Xenopus tropicalis: one gene and its partners. The main gene of each other region encodes a partner of the protein of the gene in region 3 in a complex. Links are inferred from orthologs where the notes say so. Each region holds a gene or a part of one and is shown on either strand. Other genes may lie near its edges. The genes, in order: nup160, nup93 and nup205.

The links.
Region 1: nup205 (region 3) and nup160 share a complex: the UniProt entries of both Homo sapiens proteins name them as parts of the nuclear pore complex. The link is inferred for Xenopus tropicalis from reciprocal best matches to the Homo sapiens genes NUP205 and NUP160.
Region 2: nup205 (region 3) and nup93 share a complex: the UniProt entries of both Homo sapiens proteins name them as parts of the nuclear pore complex. The link is inferred for Xenopus tropicalis from reciprocal best matches to the Homo sapiens genes NUP205 and NUP93.

Annotation. Positions count from the first base shown.
Region 1 is NC_030680.2:15,984,084-15,987,736, forward strand, and holds part of nup160 (nuclear pore complex protein Nup160), read left to right. Parts: intron 1-94; coding exon 95-317; intron 318-728; coding exon 729-807; intron 808-1,163; coding exon 1,164-1,278; intron 1,279-2,472; coding exon 2,473-2,634; intron 2,635-3,442; coding exon 3,443-3,520; intron 3,521-3,653. UniProt on the Homo sapiens protein: Functions as a component of the nuclear pore complex (NPC). Involved in poly(A)+ RNA transport.
Region 2 is NC_030680.2:43,618,608-43,622,260, forward strand, and holds part of nup93 (nuclear pore complex protein Nup93), read left to right. Parts: intron 1-954; 5' UTR 955-967; coding exon 968-1,146; intron 1,147-1,864; coding exon 1,865-1,982; intron 1,983-3,653. UniProt on the Homo sapiens protein: Plays a role in the nuclear pore complex (NPC) assembly and/or maintenance. May anchor nucleoporins, but not NUP153 and TPR, to the NPC. During renal development, regulates podocyte migration and proliferation through SMAD4 signaling.
Region 3 is NC_030679.2:6,626,902-6,630,554, reverse strand, and holds part of nup205 (nuclear pore complex protein Nup205), read left to right. Parts: intron 1-1,290; coding exon 1,291-1,482; intron 1,483-1,801; coding exon 1,802-2,072; intron 2,073-3,653. UniProt on the Homo sapiens protein: Plays a role in the nuclear pore complex (NPC) assembly and/or maintenance. May anchor NUP62 and other nucleoporins, but not NUP153 and TPR, to the NPC.

The DNA of each region.
Region 1 (3,653 bases), on a different chromosome or scaffold from region 3:
TTTGGCTATGTCACGTTACCTTATGTTCAGTGACATTGGAAATTATTCACTGACATATATTTACTTTAATGTCATATTTTTTTTTTCCCCCCAGGAAATCATTTCAGACAGCCACATTCAATCAATATTTACTGACATTGGGAAGACCAATTTCCACGATCCCAACAACACCTATGTGATTCCAGCTATTCCTGGACGAGCCCCCAATTCTACTGCTTCCACGGCATGGCTAAGCAGCGATGGAGAGGCACTGTTTGCGCTCCCCTCTGTTTCAGGAGGAATTCTTGTAATTAAAATGCCTCCTCGTGACATGGAAGGTACTAGTGATTGCCTAACATTTTATTTTTAAGAATATGGAAAGGCTTTGATGAAATAGAATCCTTGGACAGCGCTCCCTCCCCACTCCTGAACAGTTTCCCCCCCTTCACCTTTTGTCTAAGCCTTTCATTCACCTATTTCTTTGGGCAATATTTCTTAAAAAACAAACTTGTAGAATACTAGAGAGTGGACCTGATAGACAAGGAAGTACACTAAACCTATAAGCTTATGCCTGGGATGTTAATGTTGTTGGGCCATTTTGCTTTTGGTCAGGACTATCATTTACATACCTAGAGAATGGTGTGAGTAAGATGGCCACATTTTGTTGTACCTTAGGTGTACCTGCTGTACTTTTGGGGGCATAATTTTATGTTTCTATATGTATATTTCCTTTTTTCATGTTTCTGTAGGACTTGTGACCATTGCAGAATTGAAACAAAGTTCTGTAATGCAGCGACTTCTCACAGGGTGGATGCCTTCATCTATACGGTGAGTGATGTCTTGGTGGTCTCACAGGTTGGATATATTCCAAAACTCATTACAGGGATTATATCCTTTTGCATCAGTCTCTGCAACCAGTAGAGCTTACAATCTAAGGTTCATGTTAAACACACACACACTATAGTCAGTTTAATCAGGTGATTGCTATTACATTTACAGGACTAGGGAATATTTTCCTTTTAACAGTTGGTTGCTGAAATCATGTAGGGATTACATGGCACTTTTACTACTATGTTCATTGGGGGCATTGGGTTGTATCCCATATAAAAAAAAAAGTAGTAACTGATAAACTGTTGTATGGTATTGTGGCTCTCAAGATGGTAATTATGAATTTATGTGCCTAGAGGTGACCCGGGTCCGGCGCACCTTCCTGTAAGCCTTGCAGTTCATACACTTGATCATGATTCCTACCTCTTCGCTCTGTGTCAGGATCATAAACTCCGCATGTGGTCATACAAGGTGAGATTTTTTTAAATTATTTTGAGATAATCTGTGGTTTGTACAGATGGAACAGTCTTTATAACGGTATTTGGCATGATATTATAATAGTGATGTGCAGCAAGCCTGAAACCTGAGCGGTTTGGGCCAAAATGTCTGCACACAATGCTGGTTCAGGTTGGCTGTGGGTCATACTGTTCTTGCAATGCCCATAGTACTGTGTAAAACTGCTTTAAGTTTATTGCTTCAAAAATCCCAGCTTCTCCATCTTCACTGGCTCACTAGATTATACAGGTGCCATTGATATGCAATTACAAGATGGGTGCTGGTCTGACCAGTGGCAACATTTTGGGGTTAGGGTCAGTTCCAGTTGAGTTGTTCCTGACCCTCTCAGCACTATATTGAGAGTTGGTGTGGCTGTGTGTGCCACATGACTTAAGCCAGCCTCTTCTGAATTAGATCATTTTATTGTGTAATTACCCTTAAACATATTAAGATTTCATTATCTTGCTAAAACTAAAAAGACATTTAGAAAAAAAAAAAAAATTTTAAGCAGCTTTCGATTGTGACTTTATAAAAATGTTTTCGTGCTTAAAGAGCTTGTGTTACATTGTTTCAAAAGCCAGAGCCACCAGGGCAAAGTATAGAAAAGGACAGACAAACATTGATTTTCATAGCAATAATATATACAAATAACTTTAAAAAAACTGTTACAATTTTGTAATGATTGTATATTACAGAGTTGCTTAGAATTACGTTTTCTTTTTGAGTTGACATGTCCTTTAATATGAACTGTGACCATTTTATATATTGCGAACATCAGACGTCATGGTCCTTTACTTTTCCCTGGAGCACAAGTGCTTAAGAAATGAGGGCCACACAAAAGTGGCCATCTAACAAGCATCTGTGCCCTGAGGAAAGCTGCACTTTGCATACTGCATTCTGCAACATAAATGACCCCTTCCATGTTTTTAAGCTAGTTAGAAAACACAGCATAGAAATCTGGAGGCCTTGACGACAAACCTATAGAATTCCAAACAAATGATTAATAAGCCTGTATCATAGTTAAGGGTGGTAGAGATTAGCAGTAATACTTTCTGATTTGTTGGTTCTATTGTAACTTTCTTTTCTTTCTGTAATTTTTTTTTTCCCCCAAACAAAGCTAAAGCCTTTAAAAAAATAAATAAATAATGAGCTTTGGTGCTTTATTCCCAGGATCAAATGTGCCTTATGGTCGCCGACATGTTGGAATATGTGCCAGTTAGCAAAGATATCCGTCAAACAGCTGGGACAGGACACAAACTGCGGCTTGCCTACTCAGATACATTAGAAATACTTTACCTTGGGGTATATTTGCACACACCCAGACAAGGACAGGTAAATTGGAATCCGGATATTCTTTAATTATTGCAGGGGTCGGGAACCTTTTTGGCTGAGAGAGCCATAAACACCACATATTTTAAAATGTAATTCCGTGAGAGCCATACAATATGTTGGGCTGCGGGGCAAGGTAGGGTGGGTGCCAAGGATGAGGAGGAGGGCGTAGCCTGCGCTCGGCGGATAGAAGACGTGTTTTGAGGCTTAGAACACGTCTTCTATCCGCCAAGCGCAGGCCACGCCCCCTGTTATTTTTTTTATTAAAGATTTGGCAGAGAGCCAGATGCAGCCATCAAAAGAGCCACATCTGGCTCCCGAGCCATAGGTTCCCTACCCCTGAATTATTGTCTTGTCATTTTTGTGTCCATAAGTTCTGTCCTATTTCTTGTGATGCTATTACTGTCCTGTTATTTGCATTGCATCCACAGATCTTGGTCAGGCACAATGGTTGGCTATTTCTTCTTGTCTCTAATTAGAAACTCTCAAGTAGGCTCCAAAGTTTTTAGTCATGGAACTTTCTTTTGTGCCAGTCATGATGGGAATTAGATGTTGACTTACTTTAAGGTGGAAGGACTTAAAGGGGTTGTTTGGGTTAACTTTTAATACGTTCCAAAACGGCAACTTTTTAATTGGTCTTGATTTTATCTTTTATAGTTTCTGAAGGGGTCACTGCCCCCGACAAGCAAAAAAAAACTATAGCTCTGTGAGGCTACAATTTTATTATTATTGCTACTTTATTGACCAGACGTAAATTGGACCATAGCAACCAGAAATAGTTGACCGTTTTTCCTTTTGTCCCTTTTCCTAGTTCTGTGTATTCCAGTTGGTGTGCACGGAAAGCAATCGCTACAGTTTGGAGCATACTTCCTCAATATTCACTAATCAGGTAAGCAAGTTGTTAAGAAAACTCCCCCAAAACAGTAAAATAGCATTTGAAATGGATTCCGACTTCCCGCTTCAGCAACGCCTTAAGATCTTTTCGGTGTCACCGTTTGTCATAGTTTCATTATAAAACGTTT
Region 2 (3,653 bases), on a different chromosome or scaffold from region 3:
AAGGAGAACAAAAGCCTAACTAAAGAATTAGGGCAGAAATGTTGTACATTATGTTTTGGCCTTCTGTACCAGCCCAAGGCGACCACAGCCTTTTAGTAGGGAAGATCAGTGCCTCCAAAGATGCCCAGTAGCTTCCCATCTTCTTTTTTGCTGATTCACTGCACATTCTCTGTGCTGCTTTCAGTTAGGGACCGGCTCAAAATATATTACATAAATAAAAATATAAATTTAACAGTAAAAGGCTGATCTGAAACCAGGGCAATTGCATCTAATTGAAAAATTAGCCCTGTAGCATCAGCTTCTATGACAAACCTAATTTTCTGCTTGAAAATTTGCAGCAACCCCTAAACTTTTCAACTGCTGCTCAGAGCACACTGAGCATGTGCACTGTCCCAGACAGATCTAACAGAATCCAAGATGAGGAGCTCCTGTAAAGACCTATGTCATTACTACTACAGAGATGCTGAAATTTTAAAGCCAGTGCAGTCAGTTTATTATATAAAGTATGGCATTTCTAGCCATATTAATTTTTAGGGTTTAGTTTTCCTTTAATACGCTGAACCTTTCTGCTAGTTCTAAAACATGGCTTGACATTTCGGACCTCCAGAAGTAATTGGATTTCATCTGCATATAAAGCTACCTTTTCATCCAATCTCCTACACTTGAGCCCGATGATATTAGGGGACTGGTGGACCATTATGGCATAGGTTATCGAGGAAATAAAAAATGATACCTATACCTAATTTTTCAAATACTTTCCATAAATATGACTATTTGACCAAGTTAAATGCTTTGGTGGCATCCAGAGATGCCAGAACTCTGAAGCTGGAATTGTGGCGATCAATTTGAAGGTATATATATAACCTTCTCAAGTTGATGGCATTGCTTTTACTGGGCATAAAGCCTGTTTGGAAGTGCATTGTAATAGTATACTCTATATGCTCTGTTTTGCAGATCTCCTGTGACAATGGATGGAGAAGGGTTTGGAGAGCTTCTGCAGCAGGCTGAGCAGCTTGCTGCAGAAACAGAAGGAGTTACTGAACTACCTCATGTAGAGAGGAACCTACAGGAGATCCAGCAGGCTGGTGAGAGGTTGCGCTCCAAAACCATGACTCGCACTTCTCAGGAGTCAGCCAATGTGAAAGCGTAAGTACCAGTTATTTTTGATTAAGGACTGTCACATGGTATTTTGATAACTTATAACTTTGCTAAAGAAGCTTGGGTTTCATCCCATAAGGCCAGTTATTTTTGGATGATGATCGCAATACAGGCAAACTTTGGAAAAAAATTCTGATCATGGTAATTGAAAGATCTACTACAGGCATTTTGAGCACAGCTTCAAGTAGCAATTACTAAACAACCCTTTTAATAAATGCTGCATGAATAAATGTGGTGTTTTTTTCCTAGGAGCAACATTACAGAGGAATACTAGGTTGTAAAGTGGTTGCTTTACACATGGCACCGATGATGTTTATGAGGAAAGGTGCTGAGAAAGGGCTTTCAGGTTTTGGATGTGAACAGTAGTGACTATAAGGTTGTGGAGTGAAATCTTAGTACAGTGGAGGGCAGTGTAGCAAAATATATTCTTTTGCATAGGTTGGTGGGCACAGGCAACCATTGAGATAAAGACCCTGCAGACTTTAAACAATGACTCCTGCTCAGGGCCTGACCAAGTTGGGGCTGGTGGATTTTTGTGAAGCGCTAGTCTGATTTAATTCATTGGGGGTGCCTAACTTATTGCCAATTTATTAGCCTTTCATTTTATGGTAAGTACAAAACTCCCTTTTTCAGAACATTCTATATATTACTTAAATGTTGGACAGTATATAGTAATAAATATACCGCTTTTTTATAATTATTAAAGGTCTGTTCTGCTGGGATCAAGAGGTCTTGACATCTCTCACATTTCCCAGAGGCTTGAGAGTCTTAGTGCAGCCACAACATTCGAGCCTTTGGAACCTGTTAAAGACACGGATATCCAGGTAAAGGGGCCTTATCTACTTTAAATGGTAGAGAAAATGGTGAGGAATGTCCATTTAGTCTTAAAAAGACAAGTTAAATAAATAGAATGGTTGTGCAACCTTAAAGAACATGTGAAGGCTACATTTGCCTACAATGTATATCAGTTGGGCACATCCCCCTCACCCATTTGTACTGCATATATCCCCTGTGCTTGCCAGCACCATCACATTTTCCTAAACCAAATAGCAGCTTTCACCCGGTGGCCATTTTTCGTCTGATTACAGGCTCAAGAATACAGGCATACACACAGGCACAACTGTCTTTGATAAAAGTTCTGCTTTGTTTGAGCTGAGTTCAGGAGAGTTGGTTGGGAGAAAAAAAATTGAAGCAGACAGCTAGAGCTGAGTTTCTATGGGAACCAGCAATGCCATCTCTTCGCTGGCTGCTAGACTGGGGGGCATGTTTAGTAATCTGAGCTTAGAACAACTGAGCATGCCCACAAGCCAAAGCAAATTCTTGAGGGAGGGGGCTGAGTGGGTTACAGGAGGAGAACAAATCTAAGTAATTAAGGGAATGTTGCAGCCTTACTATTAACCCCTGGACAACCAGTGTGGCAGGTATTGAAAGATTTTAAAGAGGCTGTTCACTAATTACATTTTTGTGTGTGGGGTTTACATGTCCTTAAATCTGCTAATAGCCGGGATAGGCAAATTTTGGGTAAATGACATGTTTTGTCAAAGAAATTTTAGGGGTTAACTAACTTAACAGTGGATATATGTATTTATATATGTGTGTATATATACAGTATATATTTACTGTTTTGCTAAATTTAGACTAGAAAACAATTACATTTGGTATGTGCAAAATTTTAGTGGTGCTGCATCCTACAGTGCAGTATTAAAGGGTTGGTTTACCTTTAAGTCAACGATCCCCAACCTTTTATACCTGTGAGCCACATTCAAATGGAAAAAGTGTGGGGGAGCAACACAAGCATGAGAAAGATTCCTGGGGGTGACAGTAAGAGCTATCATTGGCTATGTAGCCCCTATGTGCACTGGGAGCCTACAGAAGGCCCTGTTTGGCATTATACTTGGTGAACATGTTCACTAGCCACTGCTTGGGGAGCACTGCGCTTTGAGTTAACAATTAGTATGTTATAGAAAGGCTAATTCTAAGCAGCTTTTCAGTTGTTACTTATTTTACCTTTTGAATGATTTGCCTTGTACTTTTGACTCTTTCATGGGGTTAATGACCCCAGTATTTAAAAAACTTGCTTTGCGCGGCTACAATTTAATTATTATTGCTACTTTTTATTATTTTTGTTTTTATTCAGGCTTCTCCTATTCATATTCTAAGCTCTCATTCAAATCACTGCCTGGTTGCTAGAGTAATTTGGACCCTAGCCAGATAGCTGTCAAAAATCCAAACTGGAGAGCTGGTGAATAGAAAGCTAAAATAACTTATAAAACACAAATAATATAAAATGAAAACCAGTTACAAATTGTCTCAGAATATCCCTCTTTACAACAAAAGTTAATTTAATGGTAAACAACACCTTTAACTGAACAATATGATCTTCATATACTCATTAGGCCATACCACACAGGGTGTCTGGACTGCCAGGACGTATGAGAAACAGGGGTTTATTTACTTACCGTTAAATCCTTTTCTCTCTAGTCCTATGGGGGACA
Region 3 (3,653 bases):
ATAGCACCTTCTTTCTAAAGGTGGCCATACACATTAAGATCTGGTCGGTTGGCAGATCTTCTCCCGATATTCCCCACCTATCGAGTGAATTTAGGCTAATTTGGTCGTTTGGCCCTGTGGCTAGACGATCGAATTAAAACGCCAGTAATAGGCGCAGTCGGTTCAGGAACTGCATCAACGAACCAATGTGGTCCCCGATCCGACTACATTTTTTATCCTGCCCAATCGATAGCTGCCCGATTTCAGGCCAGATATCGGTCGAGCAGGCCCCTCGTTTGTGCCCCTACATGGCCCAATAAACTGCCTAATCGGTCTAAGGTGTATGGCCACCTTAAGACCAGTTTTTCAAGAGTCCCGTCTACAGGAGGTCGGACCCTAAGGTCTCCAGTGAGACTTGACGAAAGGAGCCCCTTGGTCAGTGAGTAGTTGTGACAGCTAGGGCAATACTTGGGGTAGGGATCAGAGGGTTAACCCCCAATTCAGGAACAATAACCCCAGGGCCATCTAACCTTCTATGACAGGTAGAAGCCTCCCAGATCACAGCTCCTGGTGAGACTAGGGATCCTTGCAGGGGATCATGCAGAGAACGGAGGTCCTCTCTAGCCGGTTCTGGGCAGCACATGTTCCCCCTCCCCACCACTAGCACCGCATCCCCTTCTAGCAGAGATGCCTGGTGATGTTTGTATTTGGCCGCCATTTTTTTTTTACACAGTACGATAAATAGGCCCCCAATGGTGCACTGATATTGCGTTATAGCAGAATGTACCTGGCATTAAGTACTTGGGTGCATTTCTGATATATAAGCAATGAGTATACTCTATCTGCCACTCAAAGCTGCTTGGCTAAAGGTGGCCATACACGGGCCGATTCTAGCTGCTGATATGGGTCCCTTAGACTGATCTGGCAGCTTATCGGCCCGTGTATGGGCACTACCCACAGGCCTGCCTGACCCATATCTGGCCTGAAATCGTCCATATCTCGACCAGGCAGGTTTGAAAATCAGTCGGATCGGGGACTGCATCGGCTCGTTGATGTGGTCCCTGAATCGACAGACGCCTTTACCCTTCATTCTAATTTGATCGTTTGACTCCAGGGCCAAACAACCGAATTAGCCCGATATTGCCCGTCCGTATGTGGGGATATTGGGAGAAGATCGGCTCGCTTGGCGACCTTGCCAAGCGAGCGGACCTTAGCGTGTATGGCCACCTTTACAGCCCCCTGACAAGTAGCCGTTGCATCTGGCTACAGACTTGTTGGTTATAGTGTCTCTTGCGTCCCCTGTTTGTGTAGGAAATCAACACCATCCTTCAGTACGTGGTGGAAAGGAACAAGCTGCTGCAGTGCCTCCACGCCAAACGCCATGCGCTGGAATCATGGCGGCAACTTGTGGAGATCATACTGACCGCCTGTCCCCAGGACCTCATTCCGACTGAGCACAGACAGCTCATCATACGAGACCTGCTGCAAGATCTGCATGATAAGGTAACCTCATCACCTTACATTTCCTTCATATGATATTGTAAATTAAAACGAACCACTTACCCAGTGCTGGGGTCTGCGTAGTTGCAGAGATTGTCCGTTGGGATAGAGACCGGGGCTCATTTAACAACACTGGGCAAATTTTCCCATGGGCAGTAACCTATTGTAACCAATCAAATTCTAACATTCATTGTTCTACCTACAGCCAGTTGAAAAAAAGCCAATCACCAATTGCAAAAGTGCTTCTGTGCTTACCCGCTGCCCCTCTCTACCCCACTCCTTGTGTGGTGATTCAGCAATTCCCAACTCTCCTTCCTTCCAGATCCTCGACGACGACGCTGCCCAAGAACTAATGCCCATTGTCGCCGGGGCAGTCTTCACCCTCACCACTCATCTCAGCCAATCTGTACGTACCGAGCTGAAACAGCCGATGGCTGCCGCTGGGCTGGGCCAGTCGCAATATGTGCAAATGCTGGACGGCTCATTCGCTGCCCCTCCTGGGACAGAAAACCTCTCCGCTGGTTTTGCATCCATTGGAGACTCCTCCCTTCACATGATTCTCAGGAATCTGCTCGAGTTCATTCTAAAAACAGGTCTGCATCATTCCCATTGGGTCTTTGACTTTCAGCAGGGAAAGTCCACCATTTGTGTGCAGGGCCGTCATCGGGGGGGACAGTTGTCCCGGGCCCGGACGATCCTGGCTTTAAAGGGGGCCCGGCCGTGATACAGGTTTTTTTTTTAGCTCGGGCCCCCTTTAAAGAATTACGGGCCCTGTCATTGGTGGTCAGCGGGTACTTCCATTGGTTGCGCCCCGTGTGTACACGTGACGTAAATCGCAGGAGGACGCTGGGAGGGGGGGAGCTGGAGGACGCTGGGAGGGGGGAGCTGGAGGACGCTGGGAGGGGGGAGCTGGAGGACGCTGGGAGGGGGGAAGCTGGAGGACGCTGGGGGGGAGAGTTGGAAGACGCTGGGTGGGGAGAGTTGGAAGACGCTGGGTGGGGAGAGTTGGAAGACGCTGGGTGGGGGGAGTTGGAAGACGCTGGGTGGGGGGAGTTGGAAGACACTGGGTGGGGGAGTTGGAAGACGCTGGGTGGGGGGAGTTGGAAGACGCTGGGTGGGGGGAGTTGGAAGACGCTGGGTGGGGAGAGTTGGAAGACGCTGGGTGGGGAGAGTTGGAAGATGCTGGGTGGGGAGAGTTGGAAGATGCTGGGTGGGGAGAGTTGGAAGATGCTGGGTGGGGAGAGTTGGAAGATGCTGGGTGGGGAGAGTTGGAAGATGCTGGGTGGGGAGAGTTGGAAGATGCTGGGTGGGGAGAGTTGGAAGACGCTGGGTGGGGAGAGTTGGAAGACGCTGGGTGGGGAGAGTTGGAAGACGCTGGGTGGGGAGAGTTGGAAGACGCTGGGTGGGGGAGTTGGAAGACGCTGGGTGGGGGGAGTTGGAAGACGCTGGGTGGGGGGAGTTGGAAGACGCTGGGTGGGGGAGTTGGAAGACGCTGGGTGGGGGAGTTGGAAGACGCTGGGTGGGGAGAGTTGGAAGATGCTGGGTGGGGAGAGTTGGAAGATGCTGGGTGGGGAGAGTTGGAAGATGCTGGGTGGGGAGAGTTGGAAGATGCTGGGTGGGGAGAGTTGGAAGATGCTGGGTGGGGAGAGTTGGAAGATGCTGGGTGGGGAGAGTTGGAAGATGCTGGGTGGGGAGAGTTGGAAGATGCTGGGTGGGGGAGCTGGAGAATGCTGGGTTGGGGAGCTGGAAGATGCTGGGTTGGGGAGCTGGAGGATGCTGGGGGGAGCGGGAGGAAGCAGTGGGAATTGGGCCATAATATGAGGACACTGGGGTAGGACCAGCAATGTTTTAGGGGGCCCTGGGCTGGCTAGCAATGTTTTAGGGGGTCCCTGCCCTGGCACCAATGCAAAACGTAACCCCTGGCTACCAGTGTTTTAGTGGGGCCCTGGCTACCAATGTTTTAGGGGGGCCCTGGCTACCAATGTTTAGGGGGGCCCTGGCTACCAATGTTTAGGAGGCCCTGGCTACCAATGTCTGTGTCCTTTGTACTGATGGGATGGGTCACTAGGGGAGGGGCTACTGGGGGGCAAGGGGTGGGAGAGGGGGGGGCCTAGAAAATGTTGTTGTGAGGGGCCCTGTGATTTCTGATGGCGGCCCTGTTTGTGTGTGTGTAT